3 linked regions of the Danio rerio genome follow. The protein of the gene in region 2 interacts with the protein of the main gene of each other region in a biochemical or structural test. Links are inferred from orthologs where the notes say so. Each region holds a gene or a part of one and is shown on either strand. Other genes may lie near its edges. The genes, in order: timp2b, mmp14b and lum.

Region 1 (11,325 bases), on a different chromosome or scaffold from region 2:
ATTTAGTTACAACTAGAAATACACTTTTAAAGTATATATTAAATTATTCATAAAATATATTTATAAATAATTTAAAGTATAATAGTTAATAATAGTTAATATATTAAAAGAATATACAGATTGTAAATTGTAAAAAAAAAAGTCCTAAATACTGTATTAAAAGTATTTTGGGAAAATGTACTTCTACTACAATACATTACTAATAGATTTTTAATAAAGTCAATTTAATGTAAACTTAAAATTACCACACTCAAAATCAATTTAAGTGTTATATTATGTGATAATATTGCATTCACATTAAGTGTACTAAAGTACAACTTTTGGGAAAATGTTCTTCTACTACAGTACATTACTAATAGCTTTTTTATATATTAACTTATTTTAAACTTAGGATTAGTATGTAAACAGTGTACTAAAAATCAACTAATGTTTAAAGCATTTAAAGCACACTTTTGAAAAACACACTAATAAAACTCTTCTGGATGTTTTTTCTGTAGTGTACTTTATTGTAGTACACAAAAAAACTATTTAAGTATTACTGGTATTTGGTATACTTTTGTCAAGTGTACTAAAGTCCAACTGAAGTATAAACATACTTTTAATTAGTATCCAATCAAATTAGTAAAACCATCAAACTTTTATTTAACACAAAAAAAAAATAAAAATGTACTAAAAATGTATTTGCGGGTATTTAAGTGTATTTTAATTGCATATAATTATATATTTTTTCTCCTGGGTATCCAGTCTGATCTCACGAGGAAACGCAAGTATTTTAGGTTTTGCCAGTTTAGTGGCTAATTCGTACGAATCCGCACGAGTTCAATCATACGAAAATGTACGATTTTAAAAAGGAGGCGTGGCCCCTAACCCCAACCGTTATTGGGTGATGAGCAAATCGTACCAAATTGTACAAATTAGATCGTACAAATTCAAATGAATTAGCCACTAAATCAAAAAGTTACGAATTGCCGTGAGATTGCGTTGGTTTATCACCAGCAGGTGTTCATTATTAGTGCTCAATCATCTCCTTATTAATCCTTTCATTGTCTCTTTAACTTGAGTAACTTCAACGTGATTTAGAGAGGGACCAAATACTGGGCCCTATCATACACCTGGCGCAGTGTGGCGCAAGGTGCGGCGCAATGGTCTTTTGCTACTTTCAGCTCGGCGCAAGGGTCATTTTGAGGTGTTGCGCCACACTGTTTAAATAGCAAATGCATTTGCGCTCATATGTGCGCCCATAGGCGTTCTGGTCAGGCGTGTTTTGGCACGTTGCTATTTTGAGAAACTGTAAATAGTCTGTTCTTTAGACCAGAACAAAGTTGGTCTATTGTCTAGCGCAAAGTGCGCCTGGCTTACACCATACACACTAGATGCATTGCAACACGCAAATATCTTTATATATGAAAAAGATATCATATATTAAGGATATATATAATAAAGATATGTAGGATATAAATATAAATGATTAAAATATTACAAAATATATTAATTTCTAGCCTACATGAAGATTTAAAAACCACAGCCGTACTTTCTTCATCTCGGGAGGCTTTTTCAGTTCATTCAATTTGCTTTTGTATAATGTTATTATTATTAGCAGTATTATTTATTATATTTATATTTATATTTGTTTTATTAAAAACAAGCTTAGATTTGTCCAACTGTCAGGTTTTAGACCATATGGGGCATGGCAGGTGTATTTGGAAATAACTCAGTATTTTGACCACACTTTGTTATTATTGTTCATTTATTCGTTTGCTGGAAATTAGAACTGAATTTAGAAATAGTTTTGAAACAAATATTTGCGCTTAACAAACTAAATTAATTATTTATAGGCTAATTGATGTCTGTGCGGTAAGGTTTCCCTATCCACGAGAGCAAAAGCGAACTTACTTTACGTCAAAATACGCAAATGGCGCGACGCAGCTGGCTCTTAAAGGGAATGGGAGATGAGACTCTGATTGTTTTACTCTCAAAACACACCTATAACTCATTAAGAAAATAAACTCAACCCTTTTAGACCATGCGCCATGGTGCAAAGCGGTCCTTAAATTAGCAAAAATGCATCCTGACACGCCCTGAAAGCGTTTGCGCCCTGCGTTTTGCGCTCTGCGCATGGACTGTAAAAATAGAGCCCACTATCTAAACTGAGTACATTTGAATCAGAGGATTTTGCTGTGTGGACTGATTAAGATTGCTGCACATCCAACTGTATATTCAAACCAATAAGAGGTGTCTTCACTTCAAATCTACATAAGATTACATCAGGCATTTAGCCACAGGTCTGAGAGCAGTGCTACTATATGGCTGAGACTATCTGTAACTGTGTAAAGTGCTTTATTAATATGATTCGACTGTGTTGAATCTTTCAGCCATCATGAGCAAGTCATGTGGGAGTTTCAAACAGCCAGAATACTCCAGAATGAGATGGCCGATTCCTGCGGTGGGCGCCAGATGTTGTTGTTCAGCGAATCTCTGTTAAGTATAGGTGGGTGTGCGGTCAGTGGGGTCTCGCCATCCCAAGTCATGTAATGACCATCTATCTAATGTCAAACACAAACCACGGTATGTCGCTAGCATGTGGCAATGCTTTCTCATTTTCTGGAGCTGCAATCAGCCTGTTGAAGGAGGGCTTAATTACAGGGCTACTACACTCAATGGAAAATGCACAGGTCATGTAATGGCCGGCTGCTGAAGGTCAGAGGATCAAATCAGGCCTTTATAATTTCAGCTTTATCATATTTCAAGGAGGATGATATACACTGCACAGATGTGGGACATTATGTGCTTTCATACAGTAGATATCAGTGGAGAATAAGCTTACATTGCTCTATTTATACACATGGGGATTGAATTCATAATGAATTTATGCGAAAATAAAAGGTGGGCTGTGTCTGAGATGAGATTTAGCCGGATACGTTCACAATGTGAAGCTGATTTTTGCAGTTATTTATTACTGCCAAGTAACATCACACCTTTATGCATTATTATATGACTGAACGGGTGTGTTAAATTGTTTTATAATGACTTGTGAAATGTGACTCAGAGGATTTTTATGGGGATTGTTGTGTTATCTTGATTTTATATCATGTTAGACTCATCATACATTTATGAATCATCTCATCAGTCACTCTAAAAAAATACTCGGTTGTTTTAACCCAGTGTTAAATATTAAATCTACATGTTTTCCAACTGAATTTAAACTACAATTTTTAACCCAGTGGTTAAATTCTTTATATTTGATCCAACTTTTAGTTAAAACAACCTTGCATTTTTTTTTAGCATTCAGTTGTTTTGCCATGAAGCTCCCTAAAAAGAAAACAATCAAATGACATTTTGACTACTTTAATAATAAAACACTTGACAAACTTCTTTGATATGTTAAGCCTGGCTCATCCAATCACAGCTCGCTTTGAAGTCATTGTTTTGCACATGTTTTCACACTCTCAGAAATTAAGGTAGGCAAGCTGTCACTAGAGTGGCACCTTTACAAATGTGTACCTAAAAGGGCTATATTAATACCTCAAGGCTACATATTGGTACCTAAAATGTACAAAAGTGTTCCTCTTAAAATTTGTAGGTACTAATAAATACTTTTGAGGTACCAATATGGACCCTTCAAATACAAATGTGCGCCTTTTGAAAAGCCACCCTAGTGACAGCTCACATACCTTTATTTCTGAGAGTGTACAACCAGCTATTATTTAAGACTCTTCTTTCATTTCATTTGAATAATCTCATCCTTTAATTTTCTTTTGCCCATATAGTTCTAATTAGAGAGAAAATAATTATGCACATTGCTTAGTTATTTATAACATGTAAACAAATTACTGCTCTGAAAAATGAAAATGAAACTGGTCACACTTTGAGGCAATTCTTGCCATTAGCTATGAATCTTAACTCAATAAACTCCTAATTTTCTGCTTATTAATATTTTTTAAGGAAATTGTAAGGGTTAGCGATTGAGTTTGAGGATGTAGGATATTTATAAGAACTAATACAGACCCAATATCTTAAAAATATGCAGGCAGTAAGCCAATAGTTAGACGTGAGAATTGGTACTCAAACTAAAGTGTTAATGTAAGTGTTACACACTGTAAAAAGCAAGATATGTAAAAATAATGTGAATAAAATAATAAAGAAAAGAAATCACAGCTAAAATTGTAAACTTTGGTAAAACATGACAGACCCTATGGTGTCTATTTGGGAATATCAAAACAAAGTTGATGAACAAGATTAAAATCTGATCAAAGATAGTAGGAAAGCCTCTTGAAAAATTATATGATCGTTTGTATTACAAGAACCTCACAAGGCTGGCAAGGAAGATGATTTCGAACCCTAGTCATGTGTTGAATCATGAATGTGTACCATCAAGTCTAATCCTCGATTTAGAGTCCCAGGTTTTAATAAAGTGAAATTTAAAGAGTCATTTTTACATCAGGCTGTCCTGGAGCTGAATGAGGTCCTTGTAAAATGAATATTTTTTGTATTACTCTTTGATTCCTTGTAAGCAGTATTTATTATGCTGTTATGCAAGAAAAAATTCAGATGCAAGTCTGACAATAAAGTTTTGAATTGTTTTGTTATGATAAAATACATTGACATTATCATTATTAATAGCATAATCTAACTCTAAAAAGTATTGTGATACAGATAAATGGATTTAATATGTGTAAATAACATATTAATGTTAGGGTAAGAAACCACAACATGTTCAGCTGTAGAAATGCTGGATTCCACACAATCGATTTCTGTAATGTCAACATGAAGGAATTAAAAAATAACTTATTAGTTTTTACAAATTTAAGTGGATTGAACATAAAACAATTAAGTTGTCCCCCAAAAAGTTGTCATTTCAGCCTATTTTAAATAAGTAGTTTGAACAAACTGGAACCGTCATTGTTTGAGTACAGCAAAAGTACAACTACAGTTACAATAACTTATTGGCTTGTATAAAATGAGTTGAAACAACACATTTCTTAACAAAATTGTTTTACGTTCAAACCACTTAAATTTGTTAAGTTAACCTAATCAATTTATGTTGGGACGAGAATGAATTGTGTGGAATCCTGAATTTTTTAAAGTGTTGATATGTGTTTAGTCAACATGAAGGAAATTAACTTATTAGATTTGATCAATTTAAGTAAATTGAACACAAAACAATTAAGTTGCTCTAAAAACAAGAATTGTTTTAACTTATTTTAAATAAGTAGTTTGAACAAACAGCGAACATATTTTTTGAGTATGAGAAACTTTTTAAAATGACTTACAGCTCCACTTTTTTTTTTATAAGTTGAAAAAACACAATTTTTGAGATTTGTTTGGACAACTTATTTGTTTTATGTTCAAACCACTTACATTTGTTAAGTTAACTTAATTGGTTTGTGTTGAGACAACACAAATGAATTGTGTGGAACCTTAAATTTTTTACAGTGAGGTTTACTTTGTCATTTGTATTAATTAAGTACCATACTCTAAAAATGCAACCATCTAAGAAGTTTTTTTTTAAATGTTGTTTCTGCAGGCATTATTTTCATAATAAAGGATCCTGTCTATGGTTTATACACACACATTAATGTGACACAGTCATGGGTGCATAATGCAGACATGGATGTGAAATAGTTAAATGCATGGAATCTTACCGACATCCGCATTGCAATACGCCTGCTGTGGATGTTCAGGAGAGCAGCTGCAGGCTCCGGCAAAGTCCGTGGCTCCACACAGCACGAGCAGCAGCAGAGGAACTGACCGAGACATACTCATCTTCAGCGGACACTCTTCACGACCAACACTGGCACAAATACAGTAAAAGACTGGCTTGCTGCGCAAGGCAAACTTCGGAGAGCGATAGTTGAAAAGCTGACGGCGAGGAGCTGATGAAAGCAGACTGGTGTCAGAAGCTCGGAGTGGACAGACAGTTGCGTTCTCGGTGACCCGCCCTGCTTTTATCCGCATCTGAGCTCCGCCTACCCGGAGCCGGCATGACTTCTTGGCCGCTCTTAGTCATCATGTCCATCATCTGTTTTGTTGGTATTTAGTCTTTTTTACGTTGGCCGATATAGAAATAAAACATGTAATGAAATTTAATAACAGTACTGTATTGGGCAATGGAGAGAGCCTCTGACGTTTCCTTGGCTCTTGACCGCACGATGACCGCCACTCACTTCCATATTAAAGATGTTTCTGTGCCCAAGCATAAATGTTCATTTTTGAGCAATGTGTATTTCATATATTAAACTGGCTTGAGTTGTGAAATTTTAAGTATATCATACACTGTAAAACAATCTCATTAAATTAGCAGTTTTCCGTAGGCTACACTAAAAAAATATTCATTGTAGTTACTACAATTTTGAGGTAGCTAAGTGGTTGCAAGCAATTTATATGGGCTAAATTTAAACAAACGACTTAATTTTAGTAGTTGTCAACTTAATTTGTTTAAATTTACCCCATATAAATTGTTTGCATCCACTTAACCTAAATTATTTTTTTAGTAAATACAATGAATATTTTTTCCTGTTTATTTTGTGATTCTTGATTTATTTATTGTCAGTAAAATTCAGCTGACGCTTCAAAACATTCATAAAGAAATCTAAAAAAAAAAGAGCATAGGCTCTTTTATCTTTATAATGCTTTAATTTGCTCAGTTCTTTTGTATTTTATTTTTAGTGTCTTTTACAAATGTTCCCTACTGAAAAAAACAGCTTAAACCAGCCTAGGCTGGTTGGCTGGTTTTAGCTGGTCGACCAGGGTGGTTTTAGAGGGGTTTTGGCCATTTCCAGGCTGGTTTCCAGCCATGTCCAGCCTGGTCTTAGCTGGTCAGGCTGGGAGTTGACCAGCTAAAACCAGCTTGACCAGCCTAGCCAGGCTGGAAGCCCAGCTAAAACCAGCTGTGTCCAGCTTAAACATGGCAGGTCAAGCTGGTTTTAGCTGGTCATTTTCCAGCCTGACCAGCTAAGACCAGGCTGGAAATGGCTGGAAATGACTGGAAACCAGCCTGGAAATGGCCAAAACCCCTCTAAAACCAGCCTGGTCGACCAGCTAAAACCAGCCAACCAGCCTAGGCTGGTTTAAGCTGGATTTTTCAGCAGGGTTTTCAGTAAACAGACTTTAAATGGAGAGACAGAATGCTACTATTTGGTTATTAAAGTCTAGGGATGCACTAATGTGTCAGCCACCGTTATTTATTGGCCAATATAGATTCATTTAAAGCTGTCAACCTATTAGTACTGATATAAAAATACTGATGGTAATGGAGAAAATGTGCTGTATGTCTTATAAAGTACAGATAGCAAAAGCACTGGCTTGTTAAGTTTATTAAATTAGTATGTTATATTATGTCAAAAAGCCTTTTTGGTCAAAACAATATTCACTGTAAAATGCTGCTTTCCACACGATAGATTTGTGTTGTGACAACATGAAGAAACAATTAAGTTGTCCCCAAAAAAAAAATTCAACTCATTTAAAATGTTTGAACAAACAGCTAATGGTATTGTTTGAGTGTTAGAATAGAAATAAATCTGTGAAATGTTGGAAAGTTGAATGGTGATCCATGTTAAGTAAAAGTTATTTAATGGAGGAAAAATAGCTAGTATTGTATATTGTGTGCAGTTGACCAATATCATTATAAGACTGAATGAATCTTTGGTTAAAATTGTTAGAATAGCCCAAATGTTATTTTTTGTTGTTGTTGTTGTTGTTAAAATCAGTATCAGTATTGATTTGAGAACTGACCACATTTTTTTGTTAATGTCAGAATTGTATCGCAATTGGTTGAAGTTTTGTTTGCTTATTTCGGAATCCGTGACGTATCCAGTCAAATTTTTTTGTTAATATCCGTATTGTTATCAGCTGTAGGTTCTTTAATATTGGTATCAGAATCAAACTAAATTTAATAAGAAAAAATATAAATCAACCTTTTTTATTATTATAGAATTGTTTTCCAATTGACTAAAAATTTTATTTGCTAATTTTTTTTTTTTTTTTAAATATTGGTATCGCAATCAATTGAAATGTATTTTTTGCTTACATTGGTATCAACCGAAGGATCTTTAATATTGTTTTCTTACTAATATTGGGCTCACACGAAGGTTTTTGATATTGGTATTAGAATTGAACAAATGGTTTTTCTTTTTTTAATATCAGTATTAGTATGGGTTTTGTGAATCTATATTTTTGTTGAAACAAGTTTTTTGTTGTTGTTAATAATTTTTTGTTAATATTGATATCGGAATCATTTGAAAGTTTTTTTTTTTTTTTTTTTGGCTAATATTGGTATCAGTATCAGTCGAAAGTTCTTTTATATCGGTAGTGGAATGGAACAATTTTATTTAATTTTTTACATTTTTTTGTTAATATTGGAATTGTAAAGCAATTGGTTGAAAGTTTTATTTACTAATATCAGAATCTGTAATGCAGTCTGTCAAGTTTTTTGTTATTATGGCAATCAACCAAAAGTTTTCCTTTTGGCTAATATAGGTATCAGAATTTATTTGGGAATCAATTTTTTTTGTTAATATCCAAATTGTATCACAATTGGTTAAAAGTATTTTTCGAATAATTAGTTTATTTGCTAATACCATAATCTGTAATGTAATCATTAAGTTTCTTGTTAATAATGGTGTCGGAATTGATTGAAAGTTTTTTGTGAATATCAGTATCAGCCGAAGTTTTTGTATTGGAACCAACCAAAAGTTGTTGTTTTTTAATGTTGATATCTGTATCAGTATTGATTTGGTAATGGATAATGTTTTAGTATTTTTTTTATATAAATTTTTTTAACCACAATTGTTTTAAAAATGTATTAGCTAATATTGAAATTGGTAACGTAATCGGCCAAAGTTTTTGTTAATATCCGTATCACCAAAAATTGCATAGGTGCATCCCTTCTAATATTATTTGTGTTCTGAAGATGAACACATTTCTTATAGATTTGGAACAACTTGAAAGTTGATGAACGATTACAGGACTTTCATTTTGGGTTAAACTAGAACTTTAATCTCTCATAAAAATGAGAGCATGATTTAAAGCTACCACATCCCTGCTTTTCACAGCACGCACAATGCGATTTTACACATTCATTAGTATTAAAATTTCAGCAATACACACTTTAGATTTAGAACATCTCACCCCTGGTTGACCTTTGTGTGCATGCTTGACGTTGGCATGTGAGGTAAACTATGGGTCACAGTGCATTTGATCATGTTGCAAAGCAGTATTACGGATTTTGTGTCCATCAGTAATTCCCAAACTTCCCTTATCAGGGTCAACCTCGTTTACCGTTGCTTGCGTAGTAATATTCTGCCATGTCTTTGAATAACTATGACGCAAGAAGAAGTTGATTTGTCTTTGTGTTGAGAGAAATAAGGAACTCAATCAGATTTTAAGAAGATGAAGGAAGTCCCTGTTGCTTTACTCTGTTGAAATAAGCACCAGCACTTCTTGACATTCAGGGAAACACTTCTGCGTCCTCTGGTGACCTCTAAACCTTTCCCCCATATTTCCTCTCTCTCTCTGTTTACTCTGGACTTTCTTCAGTAGTAATAGTCTGAAGAAAGACCCTCTCCAGTCTGTCCCGGGACAGACGAGTCTTCGCTGAGGCCAGCTTCAAGCCTCCACCGCTGAGACTGCAGCTCTGCTCAAGACTTTTGGCCAGCGGAGAAATTAAAATGGTCGTGCTAAACTGAGTCTGGTTTCTCTCGGTGAAGTTTTTTTTTCCCTCTTCGCTGTCGCCTCTACCTAACATGGTTTAGGATCGGTAGAGCTACCCATCGATGAATTTGCTCTTCAGTGTTTGGACTCTCGGTAATGATTTTAAACCACACTGAACTGAGCTAAACTGAACTGAACTTAAACACTTAAAACTGAACTACCCTGATCCAGTTACTATGACCATTTATGTGAAGCTACTTTGACACAATCTACATTGTAAAAGCGCTATACAAATAAAGCTGAATTGAATAGCAGTGATGCATGTCTTTGCACACCAGGCTAAATAGGGTAATTTACGCATCTTACGAAATCTGACGTATCATCGCACGTTTTACTACTTCAACGTCTGGCCTTCCTCTGTACAGACGAAGGAAACCCTTCCAGGCCATTTGAGGGGAATTTTCGAAGTGTAATTCCCTGCCGTTTTCCCTTAAAGCTAATTAAAACCTAGAGTGCCCCAGCATGTGTTCTTGTGGTTCATTTATTAGTACGAGAAGCCATTGTGTCATGGTTTTAAAGACTTGTATTGCTTGTACATTGTAATTAAAGTCTGAAAAGACTTCCAGTGAACAGGACTGTAGATGTTTTGGCTGGGCGGTATATTCAGTTTCACTTTTGTGAAACTAAATTGTTGTTGCTCTTTGTTGTAAGTGAGAATTTTGGCTGGTGTGATACATTTAAGGCTTGTTCACGCCAGTAAAAGTAACTATAAAGGAGCTGAGACACATTTGTAAAAGCTGAGCTACTGTTTTAAAGACACATGATGCGACAAAGGAGTGAAATGCAGTTTAGTGGTCAAACCAACACAATCTCAAGGCAATTAGTGACCTTTTATTTGTATGTATTCGTATGATCTTATTCGTACAGTATGATTAGTACAATTTGCGGTAACACTTTATAATAAGGTTCATTAGTTAATGCATTTACCAACATGAACTAATCATGAACAACTCTTGTACAGCATTTATTAATCATAATTGAACATTTACTAATGCATTATTAACATCCAAGTCCATGCTTGTTAACATTAGTTAATGCACCATGAGTTAACATGAACTTACAATGAACTACTGTATTTTCATTAACTAACGTTAACTAACATGGACAATTACAGTAGTAAATGTATTGTTCATTGTTTGTTCATGTTAGTAAATGGATTAATTAACATTAACTAATGAACCTTATTGTAAAGTGTGACCCAATTTGCTTATCCCTCAATGACGATTGGGTGTACAGGTGGGGTTTGATGCCAAGCTTCTCTTAATTTACGACTGAACTCGTTCCAATTCATACGAATTAGCCACTACACTGTAAAAAATAATACCCTATATCTACTTAATAAAATTGAAGTAACAGATTACAAGCAATATTATTATTTAATAAAAAAAAATATGGATTGAGTTTTAATTAATCAAATTGGCTTATTTAAAATTAGTCATTTAAAATAAGTAACTCCGAACAGTACTTAAAATAATAAGCAAATTTTAACCAAAATTATTGGTTTAATTATTGTTCTGTGAAACAGAAACTGATTGTGAATTTTAAAATGCTCATTTTAATCAAGTTGGATTCAATCAATATTTTCTCTTCTTTAAATTATTATAAATAATAGCTAAA
Region 2 (11,151 bases):
TAGGGATGTCCTGATAAGGTTTTTTTGCCCCCGAGTCTGAGTCATTTGATTTTAAGGATCTACCGATACCAAATCCTGATCCGTTACTTCTGTAATACATAAAAAAGATGAGTGGAAAAACAGATCCAGTATGCTCCTTATTTTTTATGTAATTCATCTTATTTTAACATTCAACAACTCTTGTTAAAAAACAGAGAACTTCTGTGAGGTAGCTTGAACAATCAAGTAATAAAGAACATAAATTCTTCACTTTTGGACTTTAGTGCAACAGTAAACATAATAAAAATCTAATATAAAAATAAATAGCACCTCAACCTAAAATACCCAGCAGGCAATCCCAAGTTTACATATCTCACAGTTTGCTATGGTAATGTTGTCTACATCAACTTTATAATGCCTCTAGTCCGCAGACATACTCGCGCATTCCGCATTTACTTTGCGGGCATTCAACCAATAGCGTCTCTGCAACAAAAGTGACGTCATGCCGCACATGTTGCTGTTTCTGTGTGAAAGAAGTCTAACTCTGTGCCACCGCATAACTATAGATGTGTTAAAATAATAATCAGAATCGGAAGGCTACGTCTGAATCCGTGTGATCGGGCCAGATTTACGATCATGTTTTCGGATCTGGACATCCCTATTAAAAACACACTAATATACCAAAAACAGATTCTGAAAAAGTATTTATTTGGTCAAACAATGTGTTAAACTATGTCAATACCCTGCTGCATTATGTTTTGGAGGGCATCCATGCACAGTCCTATCAACCTTTGTCAAACAGTTCTTATAAATTTTCTTAATGAGGTCAAATGTTCAGCAAAATACCCTACCATATACCAGATACTAGACAGTACAGCTGGAATATGCGTGTAGAATTGTTTTCCAAGAGCAAACCAAGTGTTCCTGACAAGCTGATATTTAAAACTCTTGTTAAAATTGACATTAGATAAATATTCTTGTACTAATGCATTCTTTACTTGTACTAAATCTCTTTCTTTTAACACTTGGGAAGCACCGAAACACCAAACTGTAAATATGACCTGTCAACTTGTGTCCATTGTGTCCATGTTTGTCCAGCTGTACAGTACTAGATAATATACTGCTCTTAACACCAACTAGAGTCGGGTAAGATTGTTTAACAAGCCTGTATGTTAGTCAGTGTAAGTTCTTGTTACTTTAATATTGTCAGTGTAGCTATTGAAAAAGACTGATTCTGAGATGAACCACTATCTAGCTAAAAGAAAAATAACACTTTCTATATTTCTTGGTGGAAATGTTTGTTTCTATGGTGGTGTTTGTTCTTTGTCTGGATACTTTTACATGTATCTATCTTCCATGGAAATGAATAATTGGGTGTACGAGTCTGACTGTGAGTTGTAATTTCATGGTACAGCTAAAAGGAAATAAAAATCAGTGTATTCACGGCAAGACCCAGAACGAGCAGTTCTTTCAGATCGCTCACACTCTTTGTTGTTGTCTTTTTGTTTAACAGTATAAATCTCATCTACAGTGATGTTACTCTTCCTTGGTGGTCTGAGGGAACAGTTTTCTTCACATACAGGCATCCCTAATCCGTTCACTCCCTAACACAATCAAACTCCTCCGCACCGCTTCTGTGTGTGCCACATCAAGCGCAGTGAGGGAGAAACTGGAGGAAGCGTTGACAATCTGTCTGAGGACTGGCCTCTAATCTCTTGCACCATGACAACCATGCAGAGACATAAGACCTAAATAAAGTATGGTCTATGTGTTTGTTTGTAGGGCTATGTGAATATTGGGTGTAATGTTGCACTTAAACTGGTTAAGCCAAAAGGTTAAGGTAACTCAAACCATTTAAGGGAAACCGATTGCAACAAACCATTTAAGTTCAAAAACTAATCCTAATGAGTACTGCAAACTTAATCTATTTGAGTAAACGAAGAAGTTTGAGTACTGAAAAACCCAATAAGTCAAGGCAACTCAAACTGTTTGAGGAAACTAATCTATATGAGTACTGTGAACTTACAAAATTTGAGTTGAAGTAATGAGGTATGTTAACTCATTACATTCAACACTGAGTTCAAAACTCTTTTCAAATGAGTAGTATTAACTTTTAGTCAATTTTGAGTTAACTACATTCATTTCACTTGATAAAGTTGACTGTTGGGTTTTACAGTATAGAGTTATTACAGTTACATAGTTGTTGCATCTAAGAGGGTCACACGTCTACCCTCACTAATGGGGTAGATTATTTGGAGATTCCACAACATTTGCTTTACTGTGGGGCTTAAGAAACTGCTTGTTTTAAGTTAAGACCAGTACATTAAGTTGCAAAATCTGGCATAAATATCTAAATATTAACAGTACATGTAATTAATGTTTAAAGTACTGGGTTATGTAGGGTAACTACATGGGTTAAAGTAATAGTTCAGCCGCCAAAAAATGAAAATGACCTAATTTATTCTTCCTTATACAAGTTTTTTTCTTCTGTTGGACACAAAAGAAAGTATAGACCCTTTTCACAAGACTATTAATGATGCGTTTAATGGTCATCAGCATCCTAAACCCCTGAAAGCTTTTAATATTTAGCTTTTTTTTTGCAATGTATGAACATTTATATGCAATTATATGTGAATTATATCTTACCGTTGTACCTTTGCAACAAATTACAAAAAAAAAAAAAAAAAAAAAGAATTTTCTAAGTTTTTAAAGAATTTTCATGCAGTTTTTAATGCAGTTTTTAATGCAGCGTATATAGGGCAGGAAATCAATCAGGTATTGGTCAAATTAACAGTATTAACAATTTTGAATTATAGGGATTTAATTTACAGATCAGCTTCAAAAACTCTTCTTCACAAACTGGATGTTATTTACCAAGCAGCAATTAGTTTAGTTACTGTTGCGCCGTTTAATACTCATCACTGTCAACTGTATTCTTTATTGAATTGGCCTTTTCTCTAATTACGCCGACAAATTCATTGGTTTCTGTTCATTTACAAAACTCTTATTGGGAAAACTCTACTAAAGTATATTTACAGTCACTTCCTAACATTCAGAAAACATGTCAAAATCTGCGCTCTAGTAGTTTTATTAACCTTTGTATAACCACAGTTCGCATTTTATTTGGTTGCTACTCTTTTCAGTTTTCTGCTGCTGATGCTTGGTATACTTGTCTGCAATTATCAGTCTCCACATTTTTTCACCATCGCGGAGCTTTTCTTTTATTATTTCAGCAATCACAATTGTAAAAAAAAAAAATTTTTGTTGTACTCTCCAATTCACTACGCTTTTAAGTTTACCCAACTATGCCTACTTCCACTATTGAGAAACGAATCTGGTTGATGGCACATATTGACTTCCATAGTACTGAAACAAAAATACTATGCAAGTCAGTAGGTTCAGGTAACCAGCATTCTTTAAACTTAAATCTTTCGTGTTCAACAGAAGAATGAAGCTCGAAATAGCTTGTGATCAATTGAAGGCTGAGTAAATAATTATCATTTTTAGGTGAATTATGCCTTAAATGTTACACTGTAAAACCCAACAGTCAACTTTATCAAATGAAATGAGTGTAGGTAACTCAAAATGTACTGAAAGTTAATTTTACTAATTTGAAAAGAGAAACTCAAATAGTTTGAGTTGCCTTAACATATTGGGTTTTTCAGTACTCAGTTGGTTTGAGTTCTCTTCATTTATTAGGTTTTACTGCGCTCAAATTTCTTCATTTATTAAAATGGATTAGGTTCACAGTACACATAAGAATTAGTTTTTGAACTTAAATGGTTTGTTGCAATCGGTTTTTGTAAATGGTTTGAGTTACCTTAACTTTTTGGGTTTTACAGAGTAGGTTAAGTGATACCCAGTTATTAGCTCAGTTATGTATTCTTACTATAAGTAGGACGTATGTAGGCAACACAAAACATAACTATAATATAAAGTACTACCCAAAATACATTGCACATAAGCAATGGGAAAAACCCCTTTGATATAATCATTAATCCTTCACATTGATACCCGAAAAGATTTATGTTCACTCAGAAAAAGTCATCATGGGTTCCTTCGATATGGAAAATGCAGAAAATTAGTCACTCAGTAAGGGTGTGCAAACCTTCTACATCCACATGTTCAGCACCATCTTTAACATCCTTAAATCTGATGAATGAAAGATCTCTTCACAAATCGTTCAGGGCTCCCCAGAAGTACAGAAGGAAGTTCTTCTAAAAGTAAAAGGTGGGATCTATTTTAAACATCTTAATATGTGATAACATGCACGAATCTCTCATTTAAATTAATATTTTCTATAGTATGCTTTACAATATTATATTTGTGCATGTACATTAGTTTAGTCAGTACTGAAGCCAAATCTGGAGCTAATCTAACAAAATAGCTTACAATAATGGTTCAAATATTAGTAGCCCAAATGTATATGTTAGGGAAAATATTAAATTAAATTTTCAAAAATAACAAAAAACAAGAGAAACAAAGTATATATAATTGTGTTGGAATGTTTTCTCTTGCAATATTTTGCATGAATTTAAATGATTTATCTTTCCATTTCTAAAGATGTTCCATGACTAAAATCTTTTTTTCATAAATATATCTGTTTAATAAATCTGTTTTGTTCAAATGCACCAATATATATTGCCCATATTCACTGGCAAATGGATAAAAATACTCATTTTCAAAATGTGGTGTACTCCGCCATGATGAGCACTGTATTTGCTCTAGTTCAGAGATGCCCAAACTAGGGCCCGCGGGCCAAAGTTGTCTCACGGTAACCTTTGATTTGGCCCACCATCCAGTCTGAGAAGAGACTGATGGGAGGGTTGGGGGCGAATGTCTTTAACTGAGATCGTAATTTCTAATTTAACATAGCTTTTTTGATTGTTTTATTGCTGAGCTACAAAAAAAAAGCAAACTAAACATAAATGTGTCAATTAGATTCAAAAATACTGTAAATACTGTCAATCTATGGACAGAGAACAATGCCAAAGACATCAGCGAGACATCAAATCAAGGCAAAAACAGATGCAAGTTGACTCGTGTATTCGGCATTAAACTTCCCTCTGTTCTAAATGGGATTGTTTTTGTTATTACTGTTATTAATGTATTATTAAAAAACTGCATTAGTTAATATAAAGCATAGATTTGTAGTTATTTTTAACATTATTAATTACCCATGGCAAATTTAATTTAATATAGTTTGGTATTTTTTCCTTCGGCCCACAGTCCTCAATCAATTTTGCTTTTCGGCCCTCCTTAAGAAAAGGTATGGGCACCCCTGCTCCAGTTTATCTATCAAAATGCAAAACATGTAATGATAGAATGCCACCGGTAGGTGGGAGTGTTGAACCTTGGCACTAACAGACTCGAGACATGATAATACTGTATAAAATATATACGCTGCATATATGACTACAAAACATATGCTGTACATTTAAAACCATAAGGTGTTAAATCACAAAACTATAAATTGTCTTATTTTGTAAGAATTTAATGACATAAAAATCCTACAAATGTTTTAAATATATCAACTATAACATAAAAAGCCAAATTACATTACATCCCCTGGCGCTATGCTCGTATTTTTCCATCAAGTGTAAATGAATCATTCTGTCATGCTTGTTTGCTTTAGAGCAGTGTTTTGGGCAGTGCCACAAAGAGACAGATGGTAAACACTAAACGAATGTCGAGCAAAACCCTCAATTAAAATTGCTTTAAAAACATTGATCTAAACAATAGTCTACTAGTCAGGGAGGGGGAAACTGGCATATGAAGTATGTTCTCTGTCCACAAGGAAGGTCCAGCAAAAAAGTCGTCAGCAAGGCCATGAAGTTCGTGGATCTGAAGTGAGCGGGATGGGCTAAATGGAAGAGGGAGGGATTTTACTATCCAGTTTTTTGGCAACTTCGATCGAGCGACCACGTCTACAACCAAGAGAAAGGGGTTGCTGTGCATGAGAAGCCGAAGATTTTATTAAACTAGAAAAATAAGACAAAGATATATTTGCCAATGATAGCTTGTCTGTTTTTACAATGCGTTCTGTCGATGCTCCATTCTAGCGCCCAGTGCATGAAACGATGACTTTTAGACTGTAGAGTTTCAGTCCGTGCAATGCAACGGTAATATATCGCAGGTATTGTTTACATTTTGATAAACGTCTGTATTCTCCCGCTTTTCTGGAGAAACCAAAGTTCTCGTCCAATTTGTACCACTATTGTGGTAGGCACTAGTTTTTAAAGCGTTTTTTATTTCGACAGTAACAAAGTGGTGTCAAACTTTATCACGAGTACTTTTTCAACAAAGGAATCAGAGCGAAAAATGATCTGGAGCGGGTTCACGAGGCTGTTGCTCCTAATATTTGTGTGCGCGCACAGATCGTCCTCGAAACAAGATATGAAACCTGAGGTGAGTATCATGCATTATTAAAACTTAAACTGATATGTATCACTGATAACTGATAACATGTACAGATATGAGCATCGAAAGATGTTTCATCCCTAGGGAACGATACATGACTACATCTCAGTAATTCATGCTAGAAGAAAAACATGATTTAAAAAAGAAATAAAATAAAAACTGATAAAAACAAACGTTTCATATCAAATCAATAGTATAAGTGTGTGTGCTAAAAGGCATATAAATATATGACTTTGTTTTAATAAAGTAAAAAAAAAAAAAAACTTTTTTCCAAACAATATGTCGAAACTGGATAAAGTTCTTTGATAACTGTTACTGTATAACAAACTACTAGACTTGCATGTCAAACTGTGTGACCTTCACTAAAGTAGGTCAATGCTTGGCTAATAAAAGCAGACTGTGTGTGTATGTGAGACTTGATCTTAAGCAGGGGTGCCTTTTCTTATGAAGGGCCAAAAATCCAAACTTTATTAAGGCTAGTGTGCCAAAGGTAAATATAGTTGCCATAGGTAATTTCTCAATTTATTTAATAATATTTATAAAAATAACTAATACAGTAACTTATACAGTATATATATATATATATATATATATATATATATATATATATATATATATATATATATATATATATATATATATATATAAAATACCAAACTAAAACTTTTTTTTTTGTTGCAGTAAAAAAATAAACTAATTTATCTCTAGTTTGTGCCTTGATTTGCTCGTCTATGTCTTTTGCATAGTCCTCCATTTGTCGAGTGACAGCATTTATGTTTTAAAAACTCAGACTAATTTATATTTAACTGAAACGTCATTTCAATTAGCTTTTTGTTTGTGGTGAAATAAAACAAACAAACAAAAACAGGTTAAGTCAAATTAGATATGACAATCTAATGTCAAATCAGAATGTGACAATCTGTTAAAGGCATTGCTCCAACCCCCTCTATCATTCTCAGATGGGATGGTGAGCCTAATCAAAGGTTACAATGGGCCAACTTTGGCCCGCGGGCCCTACTTTGGGCATCTCTGATTCAAAGTCTAAATTGTTTGAATGTCACAATATTTAAAAAAGAAGGCAGCAAAAGCGGCTAATAAGAAACGATATCTGCTGAAGAATAACCTATGTATTGTGATTTAACATTTGTAATGCCAATGAGATTGAGAAAATTATGAGATGAGAAAATTATCGTGGTCTTAATGTATTCTGATTTGAAAAAAAATTACATTAACATTTATAATCTTTTTAGAAAAAATCTGATCTTTGAGTGTAAATTAAAATCAGTTTATAAAAACACTGTCATTATGCAAAACTATAATATAAAATGGGCATAGTTTTTGTTCACAAAAATATGTGACATGTTAACAAAATTCAGAACAAAACAGCAAAATTTATAGAGCCATAAATAACATGTTCATTTCCATTCTAGCTGAAGGGTGGAAACCCTACAGGATATATCCATTTATGGATTTGATTAAACTTATGAGGCTCTGAAACTTTATGATCTGTCAGTCACAAGTATTATTGTCACAGATGTTTAGTTTTAAGAAACTCAGATCTCTCTGCTCTGTGATCAAAGTAAACACTGTGGAGGAGTCTGAATTAAGGTCAAGTAAGAGACCGCAGATACTGAAAGATGCTGAGGATGCAAAAAAGAACGGCCGATTACCGCAGGAAAACAGGAAGAAAAGTCATGACTGTAATGTTGTGGTCAGAGGGTGGATGGATATGCTGAGGATGAGTTTGGGGGGAGAAAGGTTTTTCGGCTCCTATAAGCTGCAGGATTTAATGGATGACATCTGTCCTCAGTTACGGTCAGAAAGTAGAGGAGGGGTTTAGACAGAGTAAATAAAAAATATCTCCATATGGGCTCTTTTCTTCCTCTGTTTCTCCATTTCGGCTACCAGGAAGTCATCACAATCCTGCAGGAAGTTCTCCCAATTCCTTAAGGATTTCCTTCAGCTATACAGACTTCTGCACACCTGTTTTTGAACAATACTAGTGTCTGTGTCTACCTCCATTTGTTGTGAAATCCATATCACAATGATATTTTTGATGCACTTCTTGTCACTGACAGATAAGTCATCTGATGAGTTGCATTAATGATTGCGTAAGCCACATTATTTGGACATGCATTTGCTCACATATGGCTAGTCACATCCTTCATAGGACAGAACCGCAGGAAATAGCCCAGGGATTTTTTTATTTTTTGACCACATGGCTTCAGAGCAGATGTGCGATGATGCCAACGGTTGGTGATGTAGTGACAGAGTTTGAGGAAGGAAGTGGGATGAGGAAGGGGGTGGAATGTTGGAGAATATAGACAAAGAGATGGGGGGAAAATGGGATTGATGTTTTCGGGCAGGAAACGCGGTGGGTGTGAATGATGCAATTCTGCATAAAGAATAGAAAGTATTGTAGGCTGAAAAGTGATGTCATTTTAGAAAAGAGAGACTAACAGAGAAATGAAAGGCTGAAATTGACTACAAATTGTACAGTCCCTGGACAAAATCTGAAAATTAGGTCATTTACAAAGTAAAATCCTTTTTTGGATTCTTTTTTTTGATGTTTGAAACTAGTAGTCATTGACCTGCAATTAGAAATGTTTTTTGTACTATGGATGTCAGTGGCTAACAGTTTTCAACAATCTGCAAAATATATTTGGTCTTCAATAGATTTTTTTTTTATTTTGGATCCTTTTAAGACTGAACAACCAGCAAGATCTTTGCATTAAGTGGTTTCAGAAAGGAACACTCACCGGCCTCTTTATTAGGTACACCTTACTTGTACCAGGATGGACCCCCTTAGAACTGCCTTAATACTTTGTGGCAAATATTCAACAAAGTACTGGAAATATTCCTCAGAGATTTTGGCCCATATTGACATGATAGCATCACAGTTACTGCAGATTTGTCAGCTGCACATCCATGATGCAAATCTCTTATTCCACCACATCCCCAAGGTGCTCTATTGGATTGAAGTCTGGTGACTGTGGAGGCCATTTAAGTACAGTGAACTCATTGTCATGTTCAAGAAACCAGTCTGAGATGATTCGCACTTTATCACATGGCGTTCTATCCTGCTGGCAATAGCCATCAGCAGATGGGTACACTGTGGTCATTAAGAGATGGACATGGTCAGCATCAATAGGAATAGGGGCAGGACCAAAAAAAGGAGCAAGCAGCTACTTCCTGCAGAGAGACACAGAACACTTCATAAAAATAAAAAGAGCAGAATTAATACATAAGGGACATAACACCCCCACAGACAAGAATAAACATCTTCATGTTTACAAACAAGATCTTGATAGAGTATAAGCAATGAGGTTATCTTTGCCTTTTTTGTACTGAATGTCTAAATTAAAGTCTTGACAAATTAAAGGCCAACGCATAAAAGTTGTCAAGTGTAAATTAAATGCAAGAAAGTTTGGGCTGTCACAGTACATACATTTGAATACTAACCACTGTTTTTGTTATTGGTAAACTCCAGTTACATTAGGCATTTCTTTTTAAGTATTTCGCTATTGGTGTTACGCTGTCGATACATTTATCCAGCTGTTGAGCTTCATTAGCGTAACCTGAGCAGCTGAACTGCATTTTTATGATTTGGCTTCATTGGATTTGGATTCACCACACGCGCACCCAGATTCTGTGTTATTCCATTGGCCCAGAGTAAATGGAAGTTGTGACTCATTTTCCTTTAAAATTGCATGTCTTTCTCTCAGCCTCTCAACATAAAATGGTGCCTATTGCTCCTTTGTATATAAAGTAATAGAAAAGATCACGCATGCTGTCACAATAACTCAAACTTAATTTTTCATGCATCATGGCCAAGCCAAAATGAGGGTGAAAACTGAATTTATTTAATCAAATTTGCAAGTTATGAAAGCGTTGAGGATTTTCTTTACATTTTGGATCTTTTACATTATATTAGATTTGATATTTGGTGTTCACACTTGCAGTTCAGGTCTTTTGGTTTGTTTGGGCCAGACCAAAAGTGTATTTAGTCCTGGCAGACTCAGTGGTAGTTTTAAAAGGGTTAGTTCACCCCCCCAAAAAATTTGGCTTTTTACGCTCCTTTCACTTTGTCCCAAATACTATTTGGGTTTCTTTTATCTGTTGAAATAAGTCATTTTGAAAAGTCCCGGTTGCTTAGACCCATTGACTTCCATGGAATTTTTTTTTCCTACTGTGGAAGACAATGTATGCCAGCAACCAGCATTCTTCAAAATATCTTCTTTTGTTAAAGAAAAAAAAAAGAAAGAAAGAAACTCAAAGGTTGAAAACCACATAAGGCAGAGTAAACGATAAATAATTGTCATTTTTGAGTGGACTAACCTATTAATCCCGAAAGATACATAAAAATGTAGAGCTTTGTGATGGAATTTACAGGACATTATGACATTTTATCAGTTGTGAAGATATTAAAATATGGCTTAAACACTAGGGATGTAACGGTATCAGAATTTCACGGTACGGTAATACCTCGGTATGAATGTCACGGTACGGTATTTATTGAATCATTTACAGGAAAAAACAAAACTTATGAAAATACTCCAAAAAAGTGCCAAAAGTGTCAATGACATACAAATTAGCCATCTATCTGTAAGCTTTGAAACAGGAACTTCAATTTTAATAACAAAAAATTATTAAACCATGTAAAAAAAATAAAGTTTCAATTTAGTATTGTTGAAAACTCATCACATTCAACATTTAATCACACTCAGCCCATCTACCTAGATGAGAGCTCTG
Region 3 (11,322 bases), on a different chromosome or scaffold from region 2:
CTATTTTAAGTTTTGTCAATTTGGTGGCTAATTTGTACAAATTCACATGTCATTGGCTGATGAGCAAATCGTACCAAAATGTTTGAACGAAATTATATAAATACATACGAATTAGCAACTACATCAAAAAGTTGGCGTGAATTGTCGTGAAATTGTCGTGAGATAGTCTTAGTGTGACCATTATTCTCTTGTCTTTTTAAGCAATGCGCACGAGCAATACGCTTTTATTATTAATATTAAAGAGCCCATATTATACATGAAAAAGGGTCATATTTTGGTTATATGGGTCTCCAACAACATACTGATATGCATGCAAGGTCAAAAAACACTTTCATGGTCTTATAATATGCATTTATTTTTACCCAATTATCACAGCGACTCCCATAATCGTTCAGCGATTCATTTGTTCCCAAACCCCTCCTTAGTGCGAAGCTAATCTGCGCTGATTGGACCGATGACAGCCTGTTGCGATTGGTCGACAGCATTCAGCGCTAGACAAATGCCCAGCGCGGTTTGTCAAGCCCCCGGCGGACAGGCCCGTGCAACAACCCCGTGATCGTCATAACCCCCCGCACGGGAAGTATGAACGGCACTTGTCAGTGAAAATGAAACCTATAGCGTGCACATCATTTACTGAGCTTGATTTCCGTGACCGAGCTTTTCTCTCTTCTAAGCTGTAACTTAGATCATTTCTATTTGCAATTATTGCTGTGGCACCTCTTGCGTGAAGTGTTATAGCCCACTGTAAGCGTGTAGACTGCTGAATCAATTATTTCCCCTCACACTTCCAATAATATCCAGCTAAGCACAGCGTCTTCTTGACTCGTCTTCTTGTCTTTGCTGCTGTGCTAGTGGGCGGGGCGCAAGTTTTAATTTTCCCGGGTTTGCGCCCATATCAACTATGTTTCGTAGTCACGTCACGCTGAAACGGCTAAAGACTCGTTATGAAAATGATTCATTCTAACCACTATGAATCAACTCTTTTTTTTAGATGACTCAGTAGTTTTAAAAACTGTCCACTTTCAGATTTAAGCCTTAGCTGGATATTTCCCTTCACTTAGATCTGTGTTACACACTAAATGGATGCTCATTTTCGAAAACCCACAATAGGGGCTCTTTAAAATATAAATTAAATAATACAAAATGTAACCCTTTGTAATTTTACTCAAAACGAGAAAAAAGTATGATGAGATAACAGTGACTGGGTTGAATTTGCCGTTGCATTCCAGTGTGTTGTACTTGATATGCCACTGTGCTCCTGCAGATGTTGTGGTTTACATAGTCTTAGAGCTAATACAAATCAGTCATACCTGCATTAGGTTGAGCAGCGCAGGTTTGTCCTTACCTGCCGCATAACTGCAAAACATACATGATGTCCAGACATGAGCTCAACAGCTTGTGTTTGCCCTGCAGGCCTCACTCAGTGCAGGATGACCTGCAGGAATCGTGACAGACGAGGAATGATAAGATTGATTGAGAGCAGTTGAAAGGACCACCAGTGGTGTCTGATCCGTGGTCCAGCAGTTACTGCACATGCTATAACATGCAGTGGTGCTCGAGCATGTAACTAGTGTATGAAACTTACTCTTAGTCACTGTTTCCCATTTGATTTTATTTAAATATATATGTATTTAATTTTTTCAGACTTTTGAATTTATCTACATGACTAATTTGTTTTAATTTAATATCATATTTTAATAATTTGTTTTATTTGACTTTCAGTAAAATAACTACAGACATCAGTTTGCAAACTTATTGATATTGGGATTTACAGTAGGGGAAATAAGTATTGAACAGATCACTATTTATCTCAGAAAACATATTTCTAAAGGTGCTGTTGAATTGAAATTTTCACCAGATGTTGGTAAAGAAAACAAATTTAATTACTGTAGTTTACAAATTAAGTTGTGTAATAAAATGAAATGACACATGAAGGGAAAAAGAATTGAACACATGAAGAAAGGGCGGTGTAGAAAGGCAGCAAAAGCCCAGACAGCAGCTGAAATCTCTCAGAGGTTATTCAGAAACACTCTGCCATTGTTGTTACACATTACTATTTTTTTTGATTTTTTGTTTTGTTTTATTTTTATGTATGTATTGTTTGAGTTTTTACCAAAACCTGGTTCAATTCCATGTCAACAGCTACTTTAGAAATATTATTCGAGCGTGATGTGGCAGCAATTCTCTTCGTGTTGGATACTCTATTATATATTGTGGATATGTGTTTGTTTATTTATAAATGACATAATTATCTTTGTTTTATTTTATTATTTTGATATTTTGTATCATTTTATTTATTTATTTGCTATTTTTTGTGCACTTTGCACTGGACATTTTTATCATTACCTTTGTAAAAAAAATTCCACCATTTTTTACACTTCCGGGAAAGGTCATCGTTTATTAAACTGTTTATTTTTGGTGTTTTTGTCAGGCATCCTACACCTCGTAGTAAACCCATTCGGGGAAAACTACACAAATTATAACAACAGCACTCGTGACATCCGGCCCTCTCACAAGTCTGTGGAGAGGGGAATATTTATGTGTAATTAATTTTCCCCATTGTGTGTGTGTGTATATATATATATATATATATATATATATATATATATATATATATATATATATATATATATATATATATATATATATATATGTATTTTTATTTATTTTATTATTTTTATTTATTTTATTATTTTTTTTATTAGTGTGCTTTATATTCCATTAATTCGACAGACCAGAGTTAAATAATCCTTGTATGCCATTGTGATCACATCTACAGTTCAGATTTTGTATTTCAATAAATTTGTCAGGCTTTTGTCCTCAGACTGTGAATGTATGCAGGACCAGGTTCTTACAAATCTCATCAAGCCTTTTGTTGACATTTGATTATATTTTTGAATGTTGTATTTTGTGAAATCATTTGGCATAGTTATGTCTGTAATCAAAGTCCCTTTGAGGCAAGTCACTTTACTCAACGGCCATTTTTAAAACACCTCTCGGGCAGAGAATTTAATGTTTCCCTCTGAATGGGAAAACATTAAATTCTCCAAAACTGCTTGCCAAGCTTACCACTGAATTCCATATTAGGTATCACCAATAAAGTTAAACAACAACTGTGTCTTTAGTTTCATTTCTAAACATCCAAATCACACAAAATCGGCAGAAACTCTCGTCTGGTCTGAGCACCTCCCCCGGAGTATTGTCTGTCTATAGCAATCGAAGATTGGCTTATGTACAAGTAGGCGGAGCTTTATTCACCATATTGACCATTACACTTCACTATTTTGCCTGGAACTACTTTAGCTGTGCATTTATCTGAAAAATGTCTGCACACTTTATAATGTTCACCCACCATTCAGAATCAAGCATTCAAAACCCTGCAATATTTTTTTATCCTACTCCAAAGTTTATCAGTTTAATTATCTTTAATGGCCAAGTAATTGTCAATGACCAGACAGGATTGATTAGTTTAGATTATAATCCTTATTTTATATCTTCCTAATTCTTTACAGCTTTTACAGTAGTGGCCCAAGAAATGCACAACCTAGGCTCTGATACACATAAGGCTTACAGAACCAATCTATCATCTGGCTCTCTGGCTTTGCTGCATTCCTAAGACTCCGCATGTGCTATTAAAGATAAACTGACCTGCAATCAGCCTTGTCTTTCCTGGATCCCTCATGAGTTGTGGCCCACCTCAATGTGCTGTGAGCTTCCCATCACAGAGGACCATGACCACAGCCAGACAGAAGCCGTCTGGAGTTTATGGGGCTTAAGATTAAAAGATGGCACACTGCTTGATGATATACAATCTACCAGCTGTTAACGATTGGATACACTCTCCGTTCAGATGCCGAAGGTAGACAACACGGTTATGTAAGGCTGGTTTGGCCCAATACCCTTTTATTTGGTCAGTTTTTCCAAGTCCCGGTTGTCTAATAGCAGGCAGATGCCATTGCAACCAGCCAATTTATTTTATTTTCCAAATAGTTTGAAAATAGTTTCATTATCCTTTGTTTTGCTAGGATTATTACTTTTACGGTTGAGGTGTTTGTAGGCTTATTTGTGTCTCACATAATAGGTGAACTGTTTTGTGGGATTGTTTGGAATGGATGACATGGAAATGGAAAAGTTTGTGTGTGTGTGTGTGTGTGTGGCAGCAGGTATATATATTTTGCAAAACCTCCCCAGTGAGTCTTTGCTCCCTTCTGCATCCCACGAAGGACTACATGTCCCAAGCTGCATTGCTACTACTCACCATTGTTAAGATCCATATGTGCCACAACTGCTGACATCTACATACTAGAACCGCCTGACTTCTGTTTTCAATCTTGGGCGACTAAGGTCTGGCTTGAGTGTCTCTCTCTCTCTCTTTCCCTCTCTCTCTCTATCTCTTTCTCTCCACTCTCTCCCTCCCTTACTCTTTCTCTCCAGAGTCCTCGGGCCGCACACAACTGTACCTGAAGAGAGAGAAGCAGGAAGGTAAGGATATTTAGCATCTGCTGTTATGCATTGAATGTTCATGCTAGCTTTTGCTTTCTCTGGATGAGATTATCAGAAATCTGCTTGGCAGATTTTGGGGGAGGACTAAAGAAACATTATGATCATATTGCGGAAATTCAGCGTGATGTTTGGGAAGCTTGGAGTTCTATCTAAGCTGTTTGTGGTCAAATATAAAGGCTGTCATTTAGAATTAAATCAAATGATTTATAGGTTTTTTTAAATGCATGAAATTGTACAATGGAACAATCAATGCAATTTTTTGCAGGAAGAAAGAAAGATAAAGCAGTGCATGCATTTGACTAGTGATTTTGCATCAATGGATTGCTATAAAGAAAACCTGGGTTGCGAGATTCCATGCTTGACACCTGCTGCAAATTATTCTATGCCGTCATAAATTATTAATGGATTACCCAACTTCATAAATGTCTTTCTTTTCCAATTCCATCTTAATAATTAATCAGCATGTCATGCACAAAAAAGGGAACTCTAAAGTAAAGTCAATGTAACTTGAGATGAACTTGGATCCGAACACCAGCAATGTGGGTCTAATTTGTGAAGGGAGGAATGTCTGTCTGGGCCTATTGCATTCTTGAGAATGAAGTCATCAATTTCCATTAGAAGAGTGTCTCTGGTTTTTGTTTATGTCTGAGGTTCACCGTAGAAAGTTCTGTTATTCTTACACATTTTAGTTTTTTTTTAATGTAATATTGCTCCTTATTTAACCACTTCTCCCTTTCTTTCCTGTTCTCTTCTCCTCTCTACTGATCTCTTGTCTAGGTTTAATTTAAGTTGTGCAGCCATGTTTGCTCTGGGATCCATTCTGTTGGCTGGACTTCTAAGTCTGAGTTTAGCTCAGTATGATTACTATGATGAGTACTACATACCCTCCGCACCACTGGAGGGCGTTTCATCACCTTCTTGTGCCCAGGAGTGCGAATGTCCCATCAACTTTCCCACTGCCATGTACTGCAATGAGCGCAACTTGAAGTTCATCCCCATCGTGCCGACCGGAATCAAATACCTCTACTTACAGAACAACTTCATTGAGGAGATCAAGGCTGGAGTGTTTGACAATGCCACCGACCTTCGCTGGCTCGTCCTCGACAACAACAACATCACCAGTGACAAGATCCAGGCTGGTACTATCGATAAACTAGGAAGCTTGGAGAAGCTCCTCTTCAGTCATAACAAGCTGACTAAACCCCCTGGTTCTCTTTCGAAGTCTCTGGATGAGTTGAAGCTGATCGGTAACAAGTTAACCTCATTCCCTGCTAACACTTTGGCTGGGATGGAAAACCTGACAACCGTCCACTTGTCCAAGAACAAACTTACCACCGAGAGCCTCACAGGAGCCTTCAAGGGCCTCAAGTCCCTCATTCTGCTGGACGTGAGCGAGAACAAGCTCAAGAAACTTCCCTCGGGAGTTCCAGCTTCGCTTTTAATGCTCTACGCTGACAATAATGACATCGACAGCATCCCTAACGGCTACCTGGCAAAGCTGCCACTCCTACAGTACCTGCGCATCTCCCACAACAAACTTGTGGATTCAGGAGTCCCTGCAGGAGTGTTCAACGTGTCCTCTCTTCTTGAGCTTGACCTGTCTTTCAACAAGCTGAAGACCATCCCGGAGATCAACGAATCACTAGAACACCTCTACCTGCAAGTCAATGAGATAAACAGTAAGTTTTTTTAGTCTCCATCTGGTTAAGCGAATCAGATTTTGCATTGATTTTGACTCCATTTTGCTTTCTGTTTCTTTAGAGTTTGAGCTGACGAATATCTGCAGATTTAGCTCACCGGTCAACTACTCTAGACTGAGGACCCTGCGCTTGGATGGAAACAACATCACACACAGCAGTATGCCAGATGACACAGCTAACTGCCTACGCCAGGCCTCAGAGATCATCTTTGAATAGAGCTAAATCTCGCCAGTAGCTCATCAAACAAAATAAGGCTTTAATTCTTATTAAACCAGGGCTGCCCAAAACTTTTCCTGGAGGTCCAGTGTCCTGTAGATTTTAGCTGCTGAACGAGCTAATGAAGACCTTCAGACTCACTAACAACTTCTCAGCATATGTGATGGAGCTAAAATCTGCAAGACCTTGGCCCTTCTGCAGCTAAATTGAACATCTAAACCTGTTTCCAGAGGCCGTTATCCTGCAGAGTTTAGCTCCTGAACATGCTGATGAATGTCTTCAGACTCACTTGAACCTTCTTAGAAATTGTGTTGTAGCTAAAATTTGCAGGACTTTGGCTCTTCAGGAGCAGGATTGGATGACTAAACCTGTTCCCAGATGGCCACTATCTTGTAGAGTTTAGCTCGTGGAAACTAATGAAGGTCTTCAGACTCTTTATAACTTCTTAGTGCGTCGGAGCTAAAACCTGCAGGACTTTGCTCTCTATTAGACACTCTGGATGTCTTTATTCGGGATTCTGGCTACCACATTCGGTCACTTGCACATTGTTGACAATATTTGCTGTTTAAAAAGTTTGTATGAAAAACGGGCAGCAATAGTCTGAAAATCTTGAAAATCTGGCACATAAAAGATTAGTCTTGTATTATAATGTATGAAAAGTGGAAATATTTCAGTCTAAAGAGAGACACAAAATGCTGTGCACTCTATAATGAGTTGCACTACATGTCATCTATTTTTTTTTTTGCATGTTAAAATCTTTAATCACTTGAAACTGTAATCATATTATTAATAAGCCTGCCAGTAAGGATATTCGACTGTTTTCTACAACCTATGGATATGAACTAAATGCACAGCAGTGCATTTTAATTTACAAATTAAAAAATAAACATTGTACATTGAGTGAATTCTATCTAATCTCAAAGGGGGTTTATTTAAATGAGAAACTGCAGTGGCAAAATTTATTAATTGCAAACTAGTAGCGGCTTGCATTTCTGAACTCTGCCAACGATTATTCCATATTCTACTGTATCTGCATGCAGCTCATCTTAATTTTGTAACAGTAATTCCTTTCAGTTCTATGGTACACAGCAATGACTTTTTGATGTATTCATTACACTATTTCACATCATCACAATGTTAGTCAAATTATTGAACCACGAGATTCCCATAACTTTGGCAGACTGTTATATAAAAGTTGTAAGATCCCTGATTTTTTTTTTTTTCAAGACAACATCAAAGCAGTTTGTTCATCTTAAATTGAATAAAACACATTTTTTTTTTACCTATGTGGGAGATACTGAAGATGTCAATCCTTAAAATTAGATCAGATCTAGTATTATAACACACAGTGCCATTTAATTTATCAAGTAATCAGTCATGCTTTACTTTGTTTTAATTGTTATCAACTGATTTGTCAAACCAAAATTAGGCTTGCACATCATAGTGCAGTCAAGCTACTCTAAGTTTGATTGCTTTGATCTTAATTTATGATCTTCTAGCATGACTTGATGTGGATTTCCATTTCTTTACTCTGTTAGTTCTGGTATGGATCTGTCCTCCTTCCTTCTCCTTTTTGGCCTCTCACTCTGATTCCTGGTTGCCAATTTAGTTCTGTTTAAAGCAGAGCCATGATGACAGAACTGCTTCCTGTAGGAAACGTGTTCACTTGATGTCTGAAGAAAAGGTTGTGGATAAAAAAACGATAATGAAAAGGTCATTGTATTGAAGAACTAGGGTGTTATATCTGCTGGCAGCACTTTATAAGAATTATTTGACTTCATGTTACTTTAAAAGGTAAGACCAAATCAAATCATTCAATAAAAACGTTAGGCTTTAGTAATAGTTTCATGTCAAATCTTTATACATGTCCATAAAACCCAAACTGCGATAAAATTGTAGACTTAAAGGATTAGTTCAACCCAAAAATTAAAGCTCTGTTATTAAATTTTCGCTATCATGTTCTTACAATTTCCTTAAAACACATTCATTTTCATGTTAAGACATTAAAAGAGTTTTGATGAAATCTGACAGCCCTCTTATCTTCCATAGACAGCAGCGTTTTTAAGAGTAACTGTAATGATATGAAGCTTCAAGAACACTGTGCCAAAAGACGTGTAAATACATATATCTGCTCTCCCACGTTAGATCATCTACGTGCACATTTAAAAAGGGAAGTATGACATATTGCTATTATTGCCCGTAGATAACACATAGCCTAATATAATGATCTGTGATGCATTCCTACGATTCTAACACTTCTCAATTCATAGTTCTACAACATTGTGATTACACTTTTAGCCTCATGACATAGAAAAATATCCAAATCTCCAAAGGTCATACGGGTTCACCTACTGTGCATGCTTATAAATAAAGACCATTGATCTTCCAAGAATATCCTTTAACATCCAAAGTACATTTACCTGCACTTCCCACTGAAGGTTCTTTAGGGAAAAAAAGATTATTAAAAGTCATTTGTGCTAACAAACTAATGGTTCATGAAAAGCTATTTAAGTGATAGTTTACTCAAGAGTAAATTAAAAAGTAATAATATTTTCATTTTTGTGTAAACTGTTTCTTCTTTACGTAATCAAACCCCATTTTTTGTTAGTTTCTTTATGGCATTGCTACAAAAGTTTTTTTTTGTTTTTTTTTTTGTCATTTTTGTTTTTAAGAGAGCTAAATGTCTGACGTTCCTCTTGTTTCAATGACCACCTTTGCATATTGTGTAGCTGGGATGTTCATATCTTCTCACAGTGCCAGTGTTTGAGTTAGCTGTAAACATTCATTCCCTTTCTTGGCCCGGGACATACCTTGAATGAATCATAAAATATCCCCAACAGTTGGTCCATTCTTTCCTTTTACTTCTTCCAACCATCTGCTTCCATCTGTCTCTCCGTCCCAAACCACACCTTTATGACAGGCACTTCAAACGTTGCATTTAACATAACTACAGATTTGAGCACGCGTCTGAGCTAGCACTAAAAATGAGTGTTTTATTTAAAACGGTAGAATTTGCAGGCAGACAACCTAGCATTCCAGAGAAATGAAGCGTTTTGGGTGACCATCTGATAGTTAAACAGCGAGGCATTGTGGGAGTTCTTTTGTCCATGTGTTGGAAACAGATGATGGATGGGCAGTTCTGGCTTTATAGCAGCCTGAAAATATAAGATCGCCACAAGCTGATCGTGCACTTTCTTTTCCCAGAGGTTGATGATGAAACATAGTTTTCTGACTTTTCACCATACACATTGTCCCATACATTAGAAGGAAATAGTTTTTAAGAAAAAGAAATGTAGAAAAAGACCCTGGTTCAGTCCATTAGTTGTTCATTGGAGACTGATCTTTGCAGAAGTCTGACATACATCACCAGAGTGAAATATGTCTTTCTTCAGGAAGACTTATTATTGGCAAGGTCAATAACACATTCGTGTTTTTACTACAGCACTGAAAAGACACTTAAATTTTGATCTTGCCATGTCATGGTTGTTTTTTTTCAGTGTGCTTGTCAGCTATGCAATTGTGGTCTTGCTAAAAAAAACCACAGCCTGTTATTCAGCAACACTGAAAAGACTTTGTGTGGGAAAGAGACCACTGTGGTGTTTCTTAGCTTGTTCTTCTACAGCTGATCTCTTGAGAGAAAAGACAAAAGAGTTTCCTGCTGTTGTTTAGAGCCCAACTGCCTTCTTGCACTATCATGGTATGTGAGGACATAGGCAATATAAATAAATAAATAAAATTGCAAAGTAAACAGATACCATAAAGGGATGATTAAAATTAATTCGCTACATGTCATATTGTCAGTAATGTATGCATTTGTTTTGGGTTGAAATGCATTTCTAGGTCCAAATAAATATCACCCAACCTTCTAAATGCATTTTAGATGCATTTTAAAGTGTTTTATTAATTATTAATTAATTAATAATTACATTTTAAGTATTATTCATCATATATTTATTTAAAAAGAGTTAGGTATGAAGTTATGGCACATACCTCTAAACATTTGGTCCATTTAAACCAGGGGTGCCCAAACTTGGTCCTGGAGGATCAGTGTCCTGCAAATTTTAGTTCCTACCCGAATCAGACACACCTGGGCTGGAAAATCAAGCTCTTACTAGGCTTTCTAGAAACATCCTTGCAGGTGTGTTGAAGCAAGTTGGAGCTAAAATCTGCAGGATACCGGTCCTCCAGGACCAAGTTTGGACACCCCTTATTTAAACCAAGCTTTGCTTTAAATGCGAGAAAATTGTGGGGGTTTACCTTACATTTGACAGAAAGATGCTGTAAGATTTGCCAACATATGATTAATAACTGATCGAGGACAGAACCAAATCTGTACTTCAAATAACCAATTAGCTGCATTATATCTGTAAAGTAGGGATGGCAAGTCTGACTTATCTTCAACTGGTTCATGGGACAGTTTGTTTCAAGAGGTAAGCAAGATTCTGTTTAAGTGCATTTCCCAAAAGCATTGTAAGCTTTATTAGTTTGTTGGTGCCAGTGGTTTCTACAATTTTCTACAATTTTCTTTTCTTAGAATGGTTTTGGGATATAAATCCTTGGCCTGATATGCACTTGGTATAAATGAGTTTTAAATGGAATATAACAAGCTCACTTTGTGTCCAATCTTATATTAATCCTAAGTGTGTGCAACAATGTGAGGAACAATTTTGTAGCCCAGTAGCAAACTCACTTTGTAATTAATTCCAAGAGCATATGATCATACTGTTGTGATTGCAATCCTGTTCCTAGAGATCTACCTTCCTGCAGAGTTCAGCTGCAACTCTGATCAAACACACCTGTGTTTATTTACCAAGTGCTCCTTCAGATCCTACTTGGTTTAGTTGTGTTTGATCAGAGTTGGAGCTGAACTTAGCTGGAAGGTAGATCTCTAGGAACAGGATTG

The links.
Region 1: the proteins of mmp14b (region 2) and timp2b form a complex in vitro, tested with the Homo sapiens proteins (2 studies listed by BioGRID). The link is inferred for Danio rerio from reciprocal best matches to the Homo sapiens genes MMP14 and TIMP2.
Region 3: the proteins of mmp14b (region 2) and lum interact in a biophysical measurement, tested with the Homo sapiens proteins (2 studies listed by BioGRID and IntAct, with this or other methods). The link is inferred for Danio rerio from reciprocal best matches to the Homo sapiens genes MMP14 and LUM.

The regions. Positions count from the first base shown.
Region 1 is NC_133178.1:61,864,555-61,875,879, forward strand, and holds the start of timp2b (metalloproteinase inhibitor 2b precursor), read right to left. Parts: upstream 5,764-11,325; coding exon 5,643-5,763; intron 1-5,642. UniProt on the Homo sapiens protein: Complexes with metalloproteinases (such as collagenases) and irreversibly inactivates them by binding to their catalytic zinc cofactor. Known to act on MMP-1, MMP-2, MMP-3, MMP-7, MMP-8, MMP-9, MMP-10, MMP-13, MMP-14, MMP-15, MMP-16 and MMP-19.
Region 2 is NC_133177.1:41,179,376-41,190,526, forward strand, and holds the start of mmp14b (matrix metalloproteinase-14b), read left to right. Parts: upstream 1-5,902; 5' UTR 5,903-6,115; exon of another isoform or gene 6,116-6,239; 5' UTR 6,240-6,300; coding exon 6,301-6,387; intron 6,388-11,151.
Region 3 is NC_133179.1:16,934,434-16,945,755, reverse strand, and holds lum (lumican precursor), read left to right. Parts: upstream 1-4,446; 5' UTR 4,447-4,482; intron 4,483-5,280; 5' UTR 5,281-5,302; coding exon 5,303-6,182; intron 6,183-6,264; coding exon 6,265-6,419; 3' UTR 6,420-7,327; downstream 7,328-11,322.